Saccharomyces cerevisiae S288C: one gene and its partners. The protein of the gene in region 2 interacts with the protein of the main gene of each other region in a biochemical or structural test. Each region holds a gene or a part of one and is shown on either strand. Other genes may lie near its edges.

Region 1 (5,175 bases), on a different chromosome or scaffold from region 2:
ACCTAACAAGAGGGTTAAGAGAAGCCCTCCTGTCGTTTCAAGTGACGTTATGTTGAATAATAATAACACTCTATCGAATAGAGCTACACTTTTAACTACGCTACCAATGAAGCCTCAATCGGCCAATAAAGATGTTAATCGCAGAGTGATCATTAGATTTAATGATCGCGAGCAAGCCTTTACTTTCCACCAGTTGAGCAATGGACCACCCACGGTGTCTGAAGTTTTGGAAAACTGTAAAAATTTATTTAATATTATCAACAAGAACAAGAATTTTGGTATTTTCCATAACGATAACCTCTTGAACGATGAAAGTTTGGCAAAGTTATTTGATTCCTTTTCCACGAGCGAGATTCATCTCGTAATTAAGGACATTTCCACCATTCCACTACAAGATGCAAAAATACCAGTGCCCATTACGTTGCCCAAAATGTCATGCATAGGTGAAAACCCCTCTATGCCTTCTATTCCATTGGTACCACAAGAAAAAGATGATCCAAAAAAATCAAGCTTAACTGCCTTTGATAACATCCTTAATAGGATCTCTAAATCGCCAATGAATGAAGAAAATAGCAACACTACTTTAAACACTGGCACCTCCACCTCCAACACAAATAATAATGACCACAACGAGTCTGTGCCAGCGCCATACGTTACAAAGAACAAAAATTCTTTTCAAAATGGCAATTTACCACAGCCGGTTTTCCAGCCTTTACTTTGATAAAAATACAAAACAAAATTGTCTACATACATAACTGCCTAATACACATTCTACACAATATTTTTTTCTTTTTCAATTCGCGTACATATTTATGTAAGATAAAATAATAATATCCTCTTAATCCATGCTTAGAACTGCTGCCGTTGATTTTCAAATTCATCCTCGTCAAATGGTGGCAGTTCCATTACATGAATTTTGTACCCCAGTGAATATTCCTGGTCTTGTAAGGATTCGAACGTCAAATCAGACAGCTCTTTATCGTGGAACCCAACAATGGCATTATACACAATTGTGCTAACTTTAAAGTATTTCGCCTTGCTATCACCTTCGGAGTCAGAGACGTTTCCACTTTGTGCAAAAGTAGTTGGCAAATTTCTATTAAACTCCTCTAATTCATCTTCCGGTAATTCAAACCTCAGTAGAGTTGCTTCTTCATGATCTTCATAAACCCCTACATAGAATTCCCTTGTATTATTGATAGATGTTCGAGGTCCGCCATTTGTGTATGTGCTATTATTTGCACTCCCGTTGGTGTTCTCATTTTCTGATATCTTTAGAGCGTCCATAGATTCATTGAGTAAAGATGCTTCGTTTTGTTGCTGTAGAAACTGTCTTTCCTGTAGTCTTAATAGCTTGGGGCATTTCAGTTTTATAAAATCTTTTAGAACTGTCCATCTTAGCCTTCCAAATTTTTCCAATTGTCCTTTCTCTTTAATTTCAATAACTGTGAACTTCTCTTGGTTCATTAACTCATTGAAATCAGACTCTGATAATTTCTCCAAGAATTCTATAGGTATATAGGGTGGGAAATTTATGATCTTCAGCTGCCACATACCTCTATTCGTCATTTGTTTTCTAAAGCTTTTCTCGTTAAAGATATGCTTTAATCTTTTGTGATTTATTTGAGTTTGTGAAGGTGTAATTGTTCCACCATTCTTTGCTTGGAGGGCACGGTCATCACCATTCGTACTTGTAGTGGGAATATTACCATTATTATTGGAATTTGAGGCCATGTTCAAGTTGTAAAGGGCAGATATTTCGTTATAAGAGGGATTTATCTTATTGTTCCTTAAGGAGAGGTGATGCTGCTGAGAAAGACGAGGGCCTGTGCCAGTATCTGGATTCCTGGGGCTATTATGCATGTATTTTTGAAACTGGCTTTGGTTCTGGTGATAGAAATGCCGACGACGGGGATAGTGTGTAGGGGAAGCAAGTGGACCACCAGCAGTAGCAGCAGCTGTTGGTGAAGGTAGAGTAGTTTGATAGGGCATCTGCATATTAGGTACCGTTCCCGGAGGAGCACCCAACATAGGTAGCATCGAAGTCGAAAATGGACCATGAGGCGGGGGAGCAAGAGGTGGCACACCAACAGGTACGGGAACAGGCGTGGGCAATGGCGTTATGTTCTCATTCTTTCGAAGGCTCACTTCAGGAGAAAAACTGAAAAATTGAGAAGGTGGGGTAGAAGCGGATGGTGGCTGCGGTGTCACAGATGAAACATGGCTTGCATATCGAGGAGAAATAGATCTTTTAGTTTCATCGGGAGCACTCCGGACGTCATTGTTGCTATCACTGATTTCTGGATATCGCAGTGAAGGAGAATCATTAGTGTACGGCAACAGGTAAACGAACAGATCATGATAATCCCATTGGTAGGTGTTCAAAGTAAGTAGTAAGTTTTCCAGGGACTCGTTATCTATCGAGTTCTTCAGAATGACAATGCAACTCTGAAAAGTAATAAAAGGAGGAACCATGGAAGTCATTGGAGGCAGCATTTTCACCTGTAAAATATTGGTATGGTATATGATTCCGCCTATCAAATATTTTACCTGGGCCCAAGTCTTGCCCGGAGGGAGATTATCAATCCTTATGGGAATACCATTTGACTGCGAGTACGTCTTTTTCCTAGGAGCAGCTTTTGTGCTTGCTGTTGAGCTTTCGGTCGCAGAACGGGCAACAAAGGCACTGGCTGAAGCAGCCGACTTGGCACTATAGTGTGGTTCTAGAGTCATTATAAAGCAAGCGTATTGTAAGGAGAGACAGCAAACTCTCGTGTATCAGCCAACTGAACTGGAGGCCAAGACCAATCTAAAAAAAAAAAAAAATGAAAGAAACAAGTGTGGGAGGAAGTCTTGTTAACTTAACAGTTAAGCAAGCGTAAAAACCTTTAGGAAAGCGCACGAAAGAAGGCCAACATTACGACTATGGAATAATACAATGCACACAAACAAAAGGTAACATTTGAAAAATGGAGTAGAGAATATATTCCATTCCCCTAATTTTTTGCGGGTCTTCCAGGGCTGCGAACCCATCGCTCAAAACAAGCGCAGTGTCAATTAAGACATCATTGAACTAAAACGGAAAATTTGCTTGCGCCACACACCCTGGTCAATCGTACCAAGGGATATCACTCTGTACGGGTGGGAGGAAGGCGCGGCAATTAGAATGTGTGGGTGCGGAAGCTCGCCGCTCCCATCAAGAGAGTGGAAGACGTATGGTCTGGGTGCGAAGTACCACCACGTTTCTTTTTCATCTCTTAAGTGGGATTCTTACGAAACACGTCACAGGGTCAAAAGAAAGAGAACAAAAGCAATATTGTAATTGTCTCAGTCCACGGCAATGACATGGCATGGCCCCGAAGGCTTTTTTTGTCTGTCTTCCTTGGGTCTTACCCCGCCACGCGTTAATAGTGAGACAAGCAGGAAATCCGTATCATTTTCTCGCATACACGAACCCGCGTGCGCCTGGTAAATTGCAGGATTCTCATTGTCCGGTTTTCTTTATGGGAATAATCATCATCACCATTATCACTGTTACTCTTGCGATCATCATCATTAACATAATTTTTTTAACGCTGTTTGATGATGGTATGTGCTTTTATTGTTCCTTACTCACCTTTTCCTTTGTGTCTTTTAATTTTGACCATTTTGACCATTTTGACCTTTGATGATGTGTGAGTTCCTCTTTTCTTTTTTTCTTTTCTTTTTTCCTTTTTTTTTCTTTTCTTACTCTGTTAATCACTTTCTTTCCTTTTTGTTCATATTGTCGTCTTGTTCATTTTCGTTCAATTGATAATGTATATAAATCTTTCGTAAGTATCTCTTGATTGCCATTTTTTTCTTTCCAAGTTTCCTTGTTATGAAACGTTTCAATGTTTTAAAATATATCAGAACAACAAAAGCAAATATACAAACCATCGCAATGCCTTTGACCACAAAACCTTTATCTTTGAAAATCAACGCCGCTCTATTCGATGTTGACGGTACCATCATCATCTCTCAACCAGCCATTGCTGCTTTCTGGAGAGATTTCGGTAAAGACAAGCCTTACTTCGATGCCGAACACGTTATTCACATCTCTCACGGTTGGAGAACTTACGATGCCATTGCCAAGTTCGCTCCAGACTTTGCTGATGAAGAATACGTTAACAAGCTAGAAGGTGAAATCCCAGAAAAGTACGGTGAACACTCCATCGAAGTTCCAGGTGCTGTCAAGTTGTGTAATGCTTTGAACGCCTTGCCAAAGGAAAAATGGGCTGTCGCCACCTCTGGTACCCGTGACATGGCCAAGAAATGGTTCGACATTTTGAAGATCAAGAGACCAGAATACTTCATCACCGCCAATGATGTCAAGCAAGGTAAGCCTCACCCAGAACCATACTTAAAGGGTAGAAACGGTTTGGGTTTCCCAATTAATGAACAAGACCCATCCAAATCTAAGGTTGTTGTCTTTGAAGACGCACCAGCTGGTATTGCTGCTGGTAAGGCTGCTGGCTGTAAAATCGTTGGTATTGCTACCACTTTCGATTTGGACTTCTTGAAGGAAAAGGGTTGTGACATCATTGTCAAGAACCACGAATCTATCAGAGTCGGTGAATACAACGCTGAAACCGATGAAGTCGAATTGATCTTTGATGACTACTTATACGCTAAGGATGACTTGTTGAAATGGTAATTTTCTTTTATTTTTTTGATAAAACTACTACGCTAAAAATAAAATAAAAATGTATGATTTCCCTCCATTTCCGACCAATTGTATAATTTTATATCTGCATGACTTAATAATATAATATAATACTTATAAAATACGAATAGAAAAATTTAAACCGATGTAATGCATCCTTTTCTTTGTCGTCTTCGGATGATCTGCCGTGACAGGTGGTTCGCGCAAATCAAGCTGGTTTAGAGAATTTAACACAGAAATAAAAAAGGAAGATTCAATCTTCGTTTTTGTTTTATATCTTACTATAAAAGTGTTTTTTTTTAGTACGACGAGAAGTTAGAGTAATTATAAAAGGAATGCTTATTTAAATTTATTTCTTAGACTTCTTTTCAGACTTCTTAGCAGCCTCAGTTTGTTCCTTAACGACCTTCTTAACAATCTTTTGTTCTTCAATCAAGAAAGCTCTGACGATTCTTTCCTTGACACAGTTGGCACATCTGGAACCACCGTAA
Region 2 (7,582 bases):
CACTGCATTAGAAGCGGAGCATTTGTTGAAGAGGAAACCGGATGGCATTTTGCCCAATGGTTTGAACGTTGTTAAGTTTCAAGCAGTACATGAATTTCAAAATCTGCATGCCCTGAAAAAGGACAAAATTAATGATTTCGTCAGAGGCCATTTCCATGGTTGTTTTGATTTCGATCTAGACAACACAGTTTATTTCTTTATCGCTGGTAGATATGAATACAAAAACAAAGGTGCTGACATGTTCATTGAATCATTGGCTCGTCTCAATTACAGATTGAAGGTTTCTGGATCCAAGAAGACGGTGGTAGCGTTTTTGATCATGCCTGCCAAAACCAATTCCTTCACTGTGGAGGCACTGAAAAGCCAAGCCATTGTAAAATCTTTGGAAAATACTGTTAATGAGGTCACCGCATCCATTGGGAAGAGAATTTTCGAGCATACGATGAGATACCCTCATAATGGCCTAGAATCAGAGTTGCCCACTAATTTAGATGAGCTGTTGAAGAGTTCTGAAAAGGTTTTGCTGAAGAAAAGGGTATTGGCGCTGAGAAGACCTTACGGGGAATTGCCTCCGGTAGTCACACATAACATGTGCGATGATGCTAACGATCCAATTTTAAACCAAATTAGACATGTTAGATTATTCAATGATTCGAGTGATCGTGTAAAAGTGATTTTCCATCCTGAATTCTTAAACGCCAATAACCCTATCCTTGGTTTGGATTATGACGAGTTTGTTCGCGGCTGTCACTTGGGTGTTTTTCCATCCTATTACGAACCATGGGGGTACACGCCAGCAGAATGTACCGTCATGGGTGTCCCATCTATCACAACAAACGTTTCTGGGTTCGGTGCCTACATGGAAGACTTGATTGAAACAGACCAAGCGAAAGACTATGGTATTTATATTGTAGACCGTCGTTTCAAGAGCCCTGATGAATCTGTCGAGCAATTAGCAGACTACATGGAAGAGTTTGTAAACAAGACCAGAAGACAAAGAATCAACCAAAGAAACAGAACCGAAAGACTATCAGACTTGTTAGATTGGAAGAGAATGGGGTTGGAATACGTTAAGGCTAGACAGTTGGGTCTTCGTAGGGCCTATCCAGAGCAGTTCAAGCAACTGGTGGGTGAAACAATTAGTGACGCCAATATGAATACTCTTGCCGGTGGCAAGAAATTCAAGATTGCCAGGCCTTTGAGTGTACCCGGATCCCCCAAAGTAAGGTCCAATAGTACTGTTTACATGACTCCGGGCGATTTAGGTACCCTTCAAGATGCTAATAATGCAGATGACTATTTTAATTTGAGCACGAATGGAGCCATCGACAATGACGATGATGACAACGATACGTCTGCATACTACGAGGATAATTAAAACCATCTTAACTTCTGCTAACATATCTTACTCTTTTAGCTGAGCATCAAATTAATTTTAGTATTGCACGTTCTGTTATTCTTGTATAAGTACATAGAAATAATAGCAGTAGAAAAAATAGAAGTAATTTTACCTTTACAGTACATATGTGTTAGTATAAGGAACCTTTTACGTGGGATACTTTGCTTACGAAGAAAAGGCTGAAAAAAAAAAAAAAAGAAACTCCCCCCGCGTTTAGAATGGTGCAGCCGAGCTACCTACGCAGGGGATAAAAAGAACGAAAGCCACATCGACTACAAGCCAGAGTATAAATGGTTTCAATTCTCGTAGAGAACTCACAATTATATAATATTGGAAGACACCAGAAAAAATAACGAGTCAATTACTATGGACGACAAAGTTTCAGAAAAGGAGAGCTCCCCAAAACAAACAGAGGAGGATTCTGAAGGTAAAATGGCACATGTGCAGCCTGCTTCGTACGTGAATAAAAAAAAATATGTTTTTGGGAAGACATTAGGTGCTGGTACATTTGGTGTGGTGAGACAAGCCAAAAACACTGAAACAGGGGAGGACGTGGCCGTTAAAATCCTGATCAAGAAAGCACTAAAGGGAAACAAGGTTCAGCTAGAGGCTTTATACGACGAGTTAGACATTTTACAAAGACTGCATCATCCAAATATAGTGGCATTTAAGGATTGGTTTGAATCAAAAGACAAGTTCTACATTATCACGCAATTAGCCAAAGGGGGTGAATTGTTCGATAGGATTTTGAAGAAGGGTAAGTTCACTGAGGAAGATGCAGTGAGAATTTTGGTTGAAATATTGAGCGCAGTCAAATATATGCATTCTCAGAATATTGTTCATAGGGACTTGAAACCGGAAAATTTACTGTATATAGATAAAAGTGACGAATCTCCACTGGTAGTTGCTGATTTTGGTATCGCAAAGAGATTGAAAAGTGATGAGGAACTCCTCTATAAGCCGGCAGGCTCACTGGGTTACGTGGCTCCAGAGGTACTTACTCAGGACGGTCATGGTAAACCTTGCGACATTTGGTCGATAGGTGTCATTACGTATACTTTGCTTTGCGGTTATTCGGCGTTTAGAGCCGAAAGGGTTCAAGATTTCCTTGACGAATGCACAACTGGTGAGTATCCAGTGAAGTTTCATAGGCCTTATTGGGATTCCGTTTCCAATAAAGCAAAACAATTCATCTTGAAGGCTCTTAATTTGGATCCTTCAAAGAGACCGACCGCCGCAGAACTCTTGGAAGATCCATGGATTATTTGTACCGAATTGAAGACGCACAATTTATTGCCTGGGTTAAAGGAAGGATTGGATGCTCGTCAAAAGTTCCGTAATTCTGTTGAGAGAGTCAGATTAAACATGAAGATCCAGAAATTAAGAGATCTGTATCTTGAACAGACAGAGAGTGATTCAGATTTTGACGAAGGAAGTCAAGCAAACGGTTCAGTTCCTCCATTGAAAGCAACGGATACCAGTCAACTATCCAAGAAGCTATCAGAAGAAGAACAGTCTAAGTTGAAGTCCGAGTTAACCAGCAAAGCTTTTGCACAATTAGTTAACACAGTGCTTGCCGAAAAGGAAAAATTTTTAAATATTAACAGAGTCTGTAGTTCTGATAGCGATCTTCCTGGGAGTGATATAAAGTCTTTGGATGAGGCGAAGGAGAAACCAGAGGGGAAGGATACCAAAACAGAAGAATGATAACAGTATGCCGTTTTACCACACTGGCGAATAAATCTTCAATGACTTTGTAAGCTCGAATATGCGCAAGATTTGACTTTGATATTTTGCACTTTTTCGTCCTCACTTTCTACCTTTTTTTTTTATGCCTTAGTTGAAAAGATACGCGTATCTAATTATGTACTAATAGTCTTAATTTTACATTACTTAATTAATCGAAATGCAGCCTGTAAGGAGTTTCACAATCTTCACGTTCGTTGAAAGCTAGTTGTCTAAGTGCGCTGCCTTTTAACTCTACCATCATCAAAAGAAGAATCATTGTCGTTGTCATCATAAATATCAGCTTCGTCGTCTTCTTCATCATCGACATATTCCTCGCTATCATATTCCGTATTATAGTTTACAGTCTGTCGCTGTATCCTTCTCAACTGTCTCTTGCCTGGCTTCATGTCTGCAAATTGCACTTTCATTTGTTCAAACTGACGAAGAATGAAATAGTAATCAGATAAAAATTCCTTTAATATCTGTAACTTCTTTCTCGCAGTGTTATATTTTGCGTCTTTTGGTAGCGGGTTTGTATTTATGGAGGGATTATTATCAGTGGTAGATTTCTGCTCCAATATGTGCGCTTCATTATTCAGTGCTTCTTTTTCTTTTTCATTTCCCTCCTTTTTCTCATCTTGAGGTTTAACAATTTTATAGTCCAAGAACTCCAAGAACTCCAGCAGTGTTGCTGAATCGTGGCATAATTCATACCAATAAACCTTCCCCGATGTATTTCTGCCTCGTGCAACATCATGCGCCAACGATGGTGTGTCATGGTAAAACAATTTGAATTGGGCACTCATCGATTGTCCATCATTTTCAAACAGTGTAAAAGCGTTGTATTCATTATTTTTGAATTTCGATAGCAATGCTTGTAGATTTCTCAAATCAGTGAAGGTGCTCATTTCGAGTGAGTCCCCATAACTGTGTAATCTTGGCATATAAAAATCACCTATATGGGGAACTCTACCAAGGAAGAACTCTTGTAATCGCAATTTATAAAGTCTTTCCGAAAAAGGATTGGCTAATGGTTGATCAGGTAATTCGCCTTCAAACAATGGGACCCACTTGTCGTACAGTGAGAACAAAAGTTCATCCTTTTCGGATTTTACAGCGTTCTTCAATTCCGCTTTAATTTCCTTCAGTATTTCTAGCTTCCTTGATAAATCTGGTTTTTTACCCTCTTTTAGTTGTTTAACAAAATGTTTTTTCTTACTTCTGATTTCATATCTTGATTGAATTAGTGAGCAGAGTTTTTTAAACTGATTTATGGTATTATCTACCCCTTCAATTGTATACCTAGGCACTTGTTGTGTTTGGATGCCAAAAACGGGATCTTTTTTACCATGAGTTAATTTGTATATCTCGTCATGAATAGCAGATGAATGGGAAGCGCACCAGTCAGTTAACGCCCTCAATAAAACAACGCGATCCATTGGTTTGAGCGCCAAAATTCCATTCTTGTCCATTTCTCGATTATACAAAGGATTTGATTCCAATGGGAGTGGTTCATTAGCATTCCAGGTATATATATTTGGCGTTAAAATTTCTGGATGACTGGGATCCACCACTGGTGTTTGTTCATCTTGTTCAAAAAGAGCAGTTTTAGGTTTGGAGATATCTTGGTCACTGGGGAGTTGTTGACGCCATTCTCGTGGATACCCCCATTCGCGAGCTACAAGTCTTAACCGATAAAGAGGATTGGAAAATACTTTCTTGGAGGACGATTTTAGATTCTCCCAGGTTGTTAATGGACCTTTCTTCTTGGCACTTTTACCATCAAAATTTTCAGTAAATGTTAAATCTAACAAGGATAGGAACAGTAAATTCATTTTGTCTTGGCAATAGACGATATCCTTGATGGCCATAAAATCAGGATATAGCAATAAGGAGGTGTCTTCAGGACCCTTCACTATACCAGCTGCGCTTCCATTAGGATCGCCGGGATACAAATCTAAACCGACCTCAAAATCTTGGAATGATAAATTTTGTAGGTCAGAATGGAAAAAAGAACTAAACTTATTTATGAACGCCATCAGCTTAATGATATCTCCAGCATATGGCACAGGCTTCATGTTCGGATTTTTTAACCTAGAGATGACACTATACTGGTTCTTGAAATCAGAAGTAAGCAAGGGTATTACAGAAGTCCAATTGCTAGGGATCAAAGCGGGTTCTACTTGTTCATGGGCTGGTTTAGGTTTCGGCGCCACTTTTTTGTCATTAGTCTTCAGTGTAGGTTTGCCATCCTTAGCAATTGAGGTAGTCTTCTTTTTCTCTACTTTATCATTTGATTTAGAGTTCTGTGTGGAAGGTGCCTTTTTCTTAGGAGGAGCAGGTCTCTTCCTCTTGGGTTTATTCGCCCTTTCCTTTAACTCTTCCTCGTATTCATCATAAATGCTCGTTCTTGGCTTAGGAACACGTCTTGATCTCCTTAAATTATCAGAAGATTGTGAAACACTAACACTTTGATCGGTTTGTAAGGGCATAGCCATTGATACGCGATCATGATCATGGTCAGCAAGCTGTGCGGAAGAGCTGCCCTGGGCTTCTTGCTGCAAATTCTGGATAGAATTGGATGGAGAATCCATAAACAATAGGGGATTGCAAACTTTGCTTGAAGTACTTGGTAAGTGATAGTTTTGTTGGCCGAAACCAATGTGGAAGATATCACCATCTTAAGAAATTAAGTCCATTCATTAGTATAAACTCACGTAATTTCAATGAATTTGTTAAAGTTTCAGCAAATCGTGAAGCACGATATTTCACTTTTATGATCCGAGAGGGAATATTACTAGTACTTCCACGCATAAGGAAAGTCAATGTTAACAAATACCGCCATACCGCCATACCTGTCCTCTGTAGTCACTGCTAATGTTAATGTAAATAAATTACATCTAAAAGTTGTTTTCTCTTCAGTAATTTTAGAAACCGTTAAGAGGAAAAATGGGCACTTCCTTTCTTTGTTTCAGAAATTAAGCTCAAAAAGATGGGCTCGATAAAAGTAGCATACTATTTACTCTATCTTATTTTTATTTTCTATATACTAGTCTATCAGACTCAGACGTCAACGATGTGGAATACGGATGGAATCATTAAATAGTAGCAAGAAGTACTTTATTCTTATTTTTCAAATTGCGGCGCGCCAACAAAACGCGTACAAAAAAAGCAGATTGGATAGTACTTTATTCTTGTTATTTTGTCATTGGAAAGTATAAGCTGGTTGTGGATTACTCTTCACACGATGTGCCTGTTTTTTGTAGGCGGGCTTGTACTTTCTGGGGAGCATGCTGTGTATGTTGTAGGTCTGTGGCAATGTTTGTCGGGAGTGTTCGCTGTTACCATGAGTTGTCTGTGAGTAGTAGCGATTGTAATTGTGGTTGTATCCTACTGGTCTTCTTCGGGAATACCAAGGAATGAAAGAGTTATGAGGAACCTCACTTTGATCCTGGTAATTATTTGGTTGTTGTAGTTGATATTGGCGGGGCTCTGTGAGACAATGATTTTTTTTTGAATATATTTTAAAGCAATCGGCTGATTGGGTAGCCTCAACGCCAAATAACCAAGGAGGGTCGTAGTTATCTTGTGAATGGCTTGAGATTCCCTCATAATATAAAATATTTGCCTTTTTTTTTTCAGTAGGCATTTCCACATTTTCTTGCTTTGCAGGTAAGTCGGTTATATTGATTTCATCCAAAGATAAGGATTTTTGATTTTCAACATGCCTTCTAGAAAATATTTGTTTACCATTCAACTTTGGAGCGAAGAAACTCACCAAACCTGCTTGCTTCAATGGAGATTTGATTTCAGGCGGTGGTTCATCTTGATTTGTTACCGCCAGTTTATCTTGATTGGGATCTAAGGTCCTTGGTAGATCATTAAAAAGACTTGTGATGTCATACACAGATTGGTCTGTGCCCTTAGTTGTTTGTGGATAATTTTCGCCAAGGGAACTTGATGTTTGACTCGTTCCATATAGTTTGAGAATACTGTCTACGTTCTCTATACTAGCTTCTTTAGCTATGTTTTCTGTCTGACTGCGCAGACGTATCAAACCTAAAACTGAGAAAATGCACGCCAATAACGAGCAGAGGGAACAGGGAACAGTTAGCCAGCCACACCAAGTCGTATAAGGATGAAATTGTAACAGGATCACGGTGCATGCAAAGTAACAGGATCACGGTGCATGCAAAAATAGTTGATAAAAGTGTCAATATGTGTAATATAGCGTTGGAAGTAATAAGTGAGACATTAGTTCCTCCAGTCTGAAAAAGAAAAATAATAACCAAGGGAAGTGCAAAAGAAATGAAAGTCAAACATGTAGCAACCGGTATCGAAATCAAAAGTCCTCCTATTGTATGTCTTGCCTTAGGACTCAGCCACCAACGTTCAAGAGAAGGGCCAGGTAATATTTCTTTCGAGGTGTTATATATTAAACGTACTCGAGAGCAG
Region 3 (6,141 bases), on a different chromosome or scaffold from region 2:
TAGAGATGTGCTACTAGCCATAAGTGCTTTGTTTATACGATATAGCACTTTAAAGTTGAAATATCCTGGTCGTGTGGCATGGAATTCCTATTGGGATATTGTTCGCTATCCCAGCGCTGAGGTCAGACCTTCCCAACTATCAAAATGGAACACGTTTTTCCAAATGGTATATCTTGGATCTGGAGTATTATTACTTTTATATGAGAAAGAAGAGGGCTGTGAAAAAACCGAGGAGGATTTCGAAGATAGAAAACAGGACTTTCAAAAGGCCTTTAGCTATTTAGGGTATGTAACCGCCACGACCACAATAATGAGCGGAGTATCCTACGCATTAAAGAGAAACGCTTTTAAACTTTTAAAATAGTATAATTGCGATCCTTTTTGAAAAGGGTCCTGACTTTTCATTTTGAATGTTTTTTAGTTTTTATGTAGTGGAAAATACACTAAATCAACATATATATGTATATATGCATAAACATATGGATACTGGGAAACCCATGTTAACGGCTGAATGCAATATCATCAATACGTAAGATGGATTTAACACATTCAGACGCTAAGGTAATTGCACTTGTACTAACAAGTACGGGTTGTAAGATGTGTTCTTCATAGGTGTTCGTAGTACCAGATCGTCTAACAGAGATACCGTCATTCAATTCACCATTTTCATGCTTAGAGCGCAATTCTGTGACAACTTTGATACTATTCAAACCTGCGTTTTCAGCCAAAGTCGTTGGAATAACTTCCAAAGCAGAGGCAAATTCTTGCCAAATAAAAGCCTGTACACCTTCCATAGACCTTGCTTCCTTACTCAACCTACGGGATATTTCAATTTCTGGAGCACCACCACCAGCGATTAAACCTCTCTCTTTCACTAGACAACGAATAACACATAGTGCATCATGGAGGGAACGCTCTGTTTCATCAATGATCATGTTGTTTGCACCACGAATAACAACAGAGACGGTTGGTCTTGCATTATTGTTTCTTATACCAGTTACTCTAACTATCTTGGAACCATCGCTATCGATCTCCTCAACTAAATCAGCGGAACCCAATCTATCTTCGGTGAACAATTCTATATCAGCAATTGGCTTACAACCCAAGCCCTTCGACAGAAACTCGATTTCTTCTCTCTCGATATCCTTTACCACCATTATGTTCAATTTTGACAAGAAATGAAGAGCCAAATCATTTACCGCATCTCTCAAGATGGATTTCTGAATCAACAGCACGTTACACTTGGCCTTTTTAATTTTTTTACAGATATTTAGCAAATACGCTCTTTCTTCTTTAAGGATCTTATCCATTTGTCTATAGTCATTAACGATGATATTATTTTCTGTGTCGGGCTTTGGAGGAGATATTTGGAATTGAATTAACCCAATCTTTGCTTTTTCCTTTCTTGTCGGACCACCAGCAGATTTGATTGCCGTTTGTGTCAAGACCACACCATCTATCATTTCTGTGTCATCAATGGTACCACCAACTTTTTTGACCAGTCTGATATCGTTCAGGTCAACATTCTTAGAGTTTTCATCAGATATCTTCAATACGGAGTCCACTGCCAAGGGCGCCAAAAACGAAGAGTATTGAGACACAATCTTGGAACTCAAAGAAGTGGATGCAGCACGAACCAGCTGTTCTCTATCGCTCAACGAAACCTTATGGCACATTTCTAAAAGAATATCGACAGATCTCTTCGCAGCACTTTGAAAGGAGTCCGCAATGATGGTTGGATGGATGCCCTTGTTTAACAGCCTCTCAGCAGCACCCAATAGAGCTCCGGTCAAGATCACCACAGAAGTGGTACCATCACCGGCTTCCGAGTCCTGCGCGGCAGAAACCTCTACTAGCATTCTGGCCACCGGATGCAGAATGGCCATCTGTTTTAGAATGGTGTGGCCATCATTAGAGATGATGATTTCTCCACGAGATGTCTTAATCATCTTGTCCATACCCTTGGGACCCAATGAAGTACGGATGGCATCTGCAACAGAACGTGCAGCGATGATGTTGGCTTTGCGAACCTCTTGAGGTTTTTCCTTGTTCTTAAACGTGGCGTTAGATGGAACTTTAGCAGACATCGTTCTATACTCTCCTTTACCCGTCTTGCACACTTGCCGCACCTCCAATTACAATTCATAACCTTCATGCCCACTTAGCTATATCAACCTCTTGAACTGTATTCAATTAGCCTTTCTTGGTGGCGAAACGAAAAAAATTTCAGTTTCCCCGTGGCAAGTGATAGTAATACCAAATTATATAGCCTTAATTAGGACATATTGATATACCTCATAAACTACAGTCCCGGTGCCAGGATACAAGTTGGCATAAGCTAATGTCGAAAATGTCTAGAATACTAGTTATCGGGGCAGGTGGCGTTGGGGTCATTACTGCGCTTTCGTTGTGGCTTAAGAAGGAGAGCGACGTTTCCTTGGTAGTCAGATCTGACTACGATAGGGTATTGAAGCATGGCTACACAATCGAATCATGTGACTATGGCCGGTTAGAAGGTTGGAGACCCCACCATATTTACAGCAGCGTCGAGGACGCTGCTTCTGCCGCAGACAACCAAGGATACAACTATATTGTAGTGACTACCAAGAACATCATAGATGGGCCCGTTAATTCAAGGGTGTCCAACATCATCAGACCTGTGCTTGAGAAGAATAAAGAGCTACATGGGCCGCAATTGACGACACACATTTTACTGGTACAGAACGGAATCGATATTGAGAAGGAGATATGGGCGGAATTTCCCAGAGAGCAGTATCGTTACACGGTGCTTTCTGGCATCCAGTTAATCGGATCCACTAAGATCGGGTCAGGCCATATCAGTCAAGTGGGCCAGGACCACTTATCGTGTGGAGCTTTTGATCCACAGGACGCTGCTGCTATCCAGGCTGCCAACGACTTCGTCAGGATGTACAGCAACGAGGGGCAAAACTTTGTCGAATTTGACCCTAGGGTCCGTTACTCTCGGTGGAAGAAGTTGCTCTACAATGCAGCTATCAACACATCCACGGCACTTGTGGGGCTAGACGTTCCGCGTTGCCTGGAGTTTGGGGTTAACAAGAAGAGCACAGAAATTGAAGTGTTCCACCCTGCCATGAGGGAGATCATCGCCATTGCGGCGAGTGAAGGCATCATTATCGAAGAGGAGTTCATAACGATGTTTACAGAGATTACCAGGAAAAAGGTGTTCAAGCCATCCATGTGCGTGGACTGCGAGAAGGGCCAATTGATGGAGCTAGAAGTCATCCTAGGCAACCCCATAAGAATCGCGAAAAGAAACGGCGTCGCTACACCCACTCTTTCTATCTTATACAACCTACTTGTGCTAGTACAGGCCAAACTAAAGGAGCGGAAAGGCCTATTGAAGTTCGACGAAAAAACTGCCACTCTTGTGGACGAGTAGTTCCAACCATTGCTTGCCTCGTTGACGAGCCTTCATCTAGTATATTGTAACACATAATTTAGTATGTACTCTTAACTATTATTCTTATTGTCAGCATTTATACGACGTACAGAGCGACCGAAAATTTCGACAACACGAAACGAAATCGACAATTTGCCAACTTGAATAAATAACAGATCCGTCTTCGAGACTGTGACGATTGAGCCTCGATTCAGTAGCATACAGGGACCACAAACTTGTTTGAAGAGGCATTGCAATTAGGTAAATCATAGAATTGGCGAAACCAGCAGGATTTTCCAAACATTTGTTACTTACCCCCTTCTTTGCTTAAGATATAAAGTTTTTTCTTTTTATTTTATCTTCCCTTTACACTTTTGAATAAAAACATTATCATACCTGTTTACAAATTCGCGGTTTATTTAACCTGAAATCAGTATACTTTTTTTCTTCTGTAGTGTCTTTGTTCATTTCATTACTGGATCAAGATGAAGATGTTAACTAAATTTGAATCAAAGTCCACTAGGGCCAAGGGCATTGCCTTCCACCCCTCCAGACCTTGGGTTTTGGTGGCTTTGTTTTCCTCTACTATTCAATTATGGGATTACAGGATGGGAACACTACTTCACAGATTTGAAGACCACGAGGGCCCTGTTCGTGGGCTAGATTTCCATCCAACCCAACCGATTTTTGTTTCGGCAGGTGACGACTATACCATTAAAGTTTGGTCCTTAGATACTAACAAATGTCTATACACCTTAACTGGGCATTTGGATTATGTCCGTACCGTGTTTTTCCACCGTGAGCTGCCTTGGATCATATCTGCTTCTGATGACCAGACCATAAGAATCTGGAACTGGCAAAACCGTAAGGAAATTGCATGTTTGACCGGCCACAATCATTTTGTCATGTGTGCTCAATTTCATCCAACCGATGACCTGATCGTTTCCGCTTCTCTGGATGAAACCATCAGAATTTGGGATATTTCCGGTTTAAGGAAAAGACACTCCGCTCCTGGTACTAGTTCATTTGAGGAGCAAATGAGTGCACAACAAAATCTATTGGATGGCTCTCTTGGTGACTGTGTTGTCAAGTTTATTCTAGAGGGTCACACAAGAGGTGTCAACTGGGCCTCTTTCCATCCAACTTTACCATTGATTGTCTCCGGCAGTGACGACCGTCAAGTTAAATTATGGAGAATGAGTGCTACGAAAGCTTGGGAAGTTGATACTTGCAGAGGTCACACTAACAATGTTGATAGTGTTATCTTTCACCCACATCAAAACTTGATCATTTCTGTCGGTGAAGACAAAACGCTAAGGGTTTGGGATCTTGACAAGAGAACTCCAGTAAAGCAATTCAAAAGAGAAAACGATAGATTTTGGTTGATTGCAGCACATCCTCATATCAATCTATTTGGTGCAGCTCACGATTCTGGTATTATGGTTTTCAAGCTCGATCGCGAAAGACCATGCAGCTTTATCCATCAAAACCAGTTGTTTTTTGTCAATGCGGAAAAGCAAATCCAAAGTTTCAATTTCCAGAAAAGAGTCGCTTCATTACCTTATGCGTCCTTAAAGGGTATTGGTCAACCTTGGGATGCATTCAGAAGTATATCGTACAATCCCTCCCAACATTCAGTTTTGGTTAATGAAGCTAATGGCAAATTTGCTCTCGTTATTTTACCAAAACAACCAGTTGGAGCTGTGGAGCCAACAAGTGTCACCCAAGATACAGGTAATTTTGCTACTTTTGTTGGTCGTAATAGATTTGTTGTTTACAACAAGAACACTGAATCTGTTGAAGTTCGCTCTCTCGAAAACAAAGTTACAAGAAATATCAAAGTAGAGGAAACAGTAAGAACTATTGTAGCTGCAGGTCCTGGATCTGTTTTGGTCATACACCCCAGAGAAGTTATTCTTTATGATGTCCAACAGGGCAAAAAAGTATCCCAATTGGCTGTTAAAAACGTCAAGTACGTTTCGTGGTCCTTAGATGGTCAATATGTTGCATTGATGAGTAAGCACACCATAACTTTGGCTACCAAAAAGCTAGAATTGATTAATTCTATGCATGAAACGATTAGAATCAAAAGTGCCGCTTGGGATGAAACTGGTGTATTAATTTATTCAACTTTAAATCATATAAGGTACTCACTATTGAACGGGGATAGAGGTATTATTAAAACTTTGGAGAAAACTTTATATATCACAAAAGTTCAGGGAAAATTAGTGTACTGCTTGAACCGTGAAGGTGAGATTGAAATTTTAACCATTGATCCTACAGAATATCGCTTCAAAAAGGCCCTGGTTAACAAAAATTTCCCAGAAGTTTTACGTCTGATAAAAGATTCTAATTTGGTTGGCCAGAATATCATTTCCTATCTGCAGAAGTCAGGTTACCCAGAAATTGCTTTACAATTCGTTCAAGACCCACATATCCGTTTTGATTTAGCTTTGGAATACGGTAATTTGGATGTTGCCTTAGATGAAGCCAAAAAACTGAATGATTCTAGTACTTGGGAAAGATTAATCCAAGAAGCCTTGGCACAAGGTAATGCCAGCTTAGCTGAAATGATTTATCAAACTCAACATTCTTTTGACAAACTTTCCTTCCTGTATTTAGTTACAGGTGACGTTAACAAACTATCTAAAATGCAAAATATCGCTCAGACTCGTGAAGACTTTGGAAGTATGCTATTAAACACCTTTTACAACAATTCA

The links.
Region 1: the proteins of CMK1 (region 2) and GPP1 form a complex in vitro, tested with the Saccharomyces cerevisiae proteins (2 studies listed by BioGRID, with this or other methods).
Region 3: the proteins of CMK1 (region 2) and CCT4 form a complex in vitro, tested with the Saccharomyces cerevisiae proteins (2 studies listed by BioGRID, with this or other methods).

What each region holds. Positions count from the first base shown.
Region 1 is NC_001141.2:251,193-256,367, forward strand, and holds GPP1 (glycerol-1-phosphatase GPP1), read left to right. Parts: upstream 1-3,922; coding exon 3,923-4,675; downstream 4,676-5,175. Other genes in the region: VHR1 (Vhr1p), read left to right, coding at 1-721; YIL055C (uncharacterized protein), read right to left, coding at 850-2,733; YIL054W (uncharacterized protein), read left to right, coding at 3,351-3,668; 60S ribosomal protein eL34 RPL34B, read right to left, coding at 5,034-5,175. UniProt on the Saccharomyces cerevisiae protein: Major isoform of glycerol-1-phosphate phosphohydrolase involved in glycerol biosynthesis. Plays a role in osmoadaptation and required for adaptation to anaerobic conditions.
Region 2 is NC_001138.5:168,061-175,642, reverse strand, and holds CMK1 (calmodulin-dependent protein kinase CMK1), read left to right. Parts: upstream 1-1,765; coding exon 1,766-3,106; downstream 3,107-7,582. Other genes in the region: glycogen (starch) synthase GSY1, read left to right, coding at 1-1,378; IOC3 (Ioc3p), read right to left, coding at 3,358-5,721; YFR012W-A (uncharacterized protein), read right to left, coding at 6,333-6,419; DCV1 (Dcv1p), read right to left, coding at 7,147-7,582.
Region 3 is NC_001136.10:195,942-202,082, reverse strand, and holds CCT4 (chaperonin-containing T-complex subunit CCT4), read right to left. Parts: upstream 2,088-6,141; coding exon 501-2,087; downstream 1-500. Other genes in the region: CRD1 (cardiolipin synthase), read left to right, coding at 1-364; YDL144C (uncharacterized protein), read left to right, coding at 2,351-3,421; COP1 (coatomer subunit alpha), read left to right, coding at 3,907-6,141. UniProt on the Saccharomyces cerevisiae protein: Molecular chaperone; assists the folding of proteins upon ATP hydrolysis. Known to play a role, in vitro, in the folding of actin and tubulin. In yeast may play a role in mitotic spindle formation.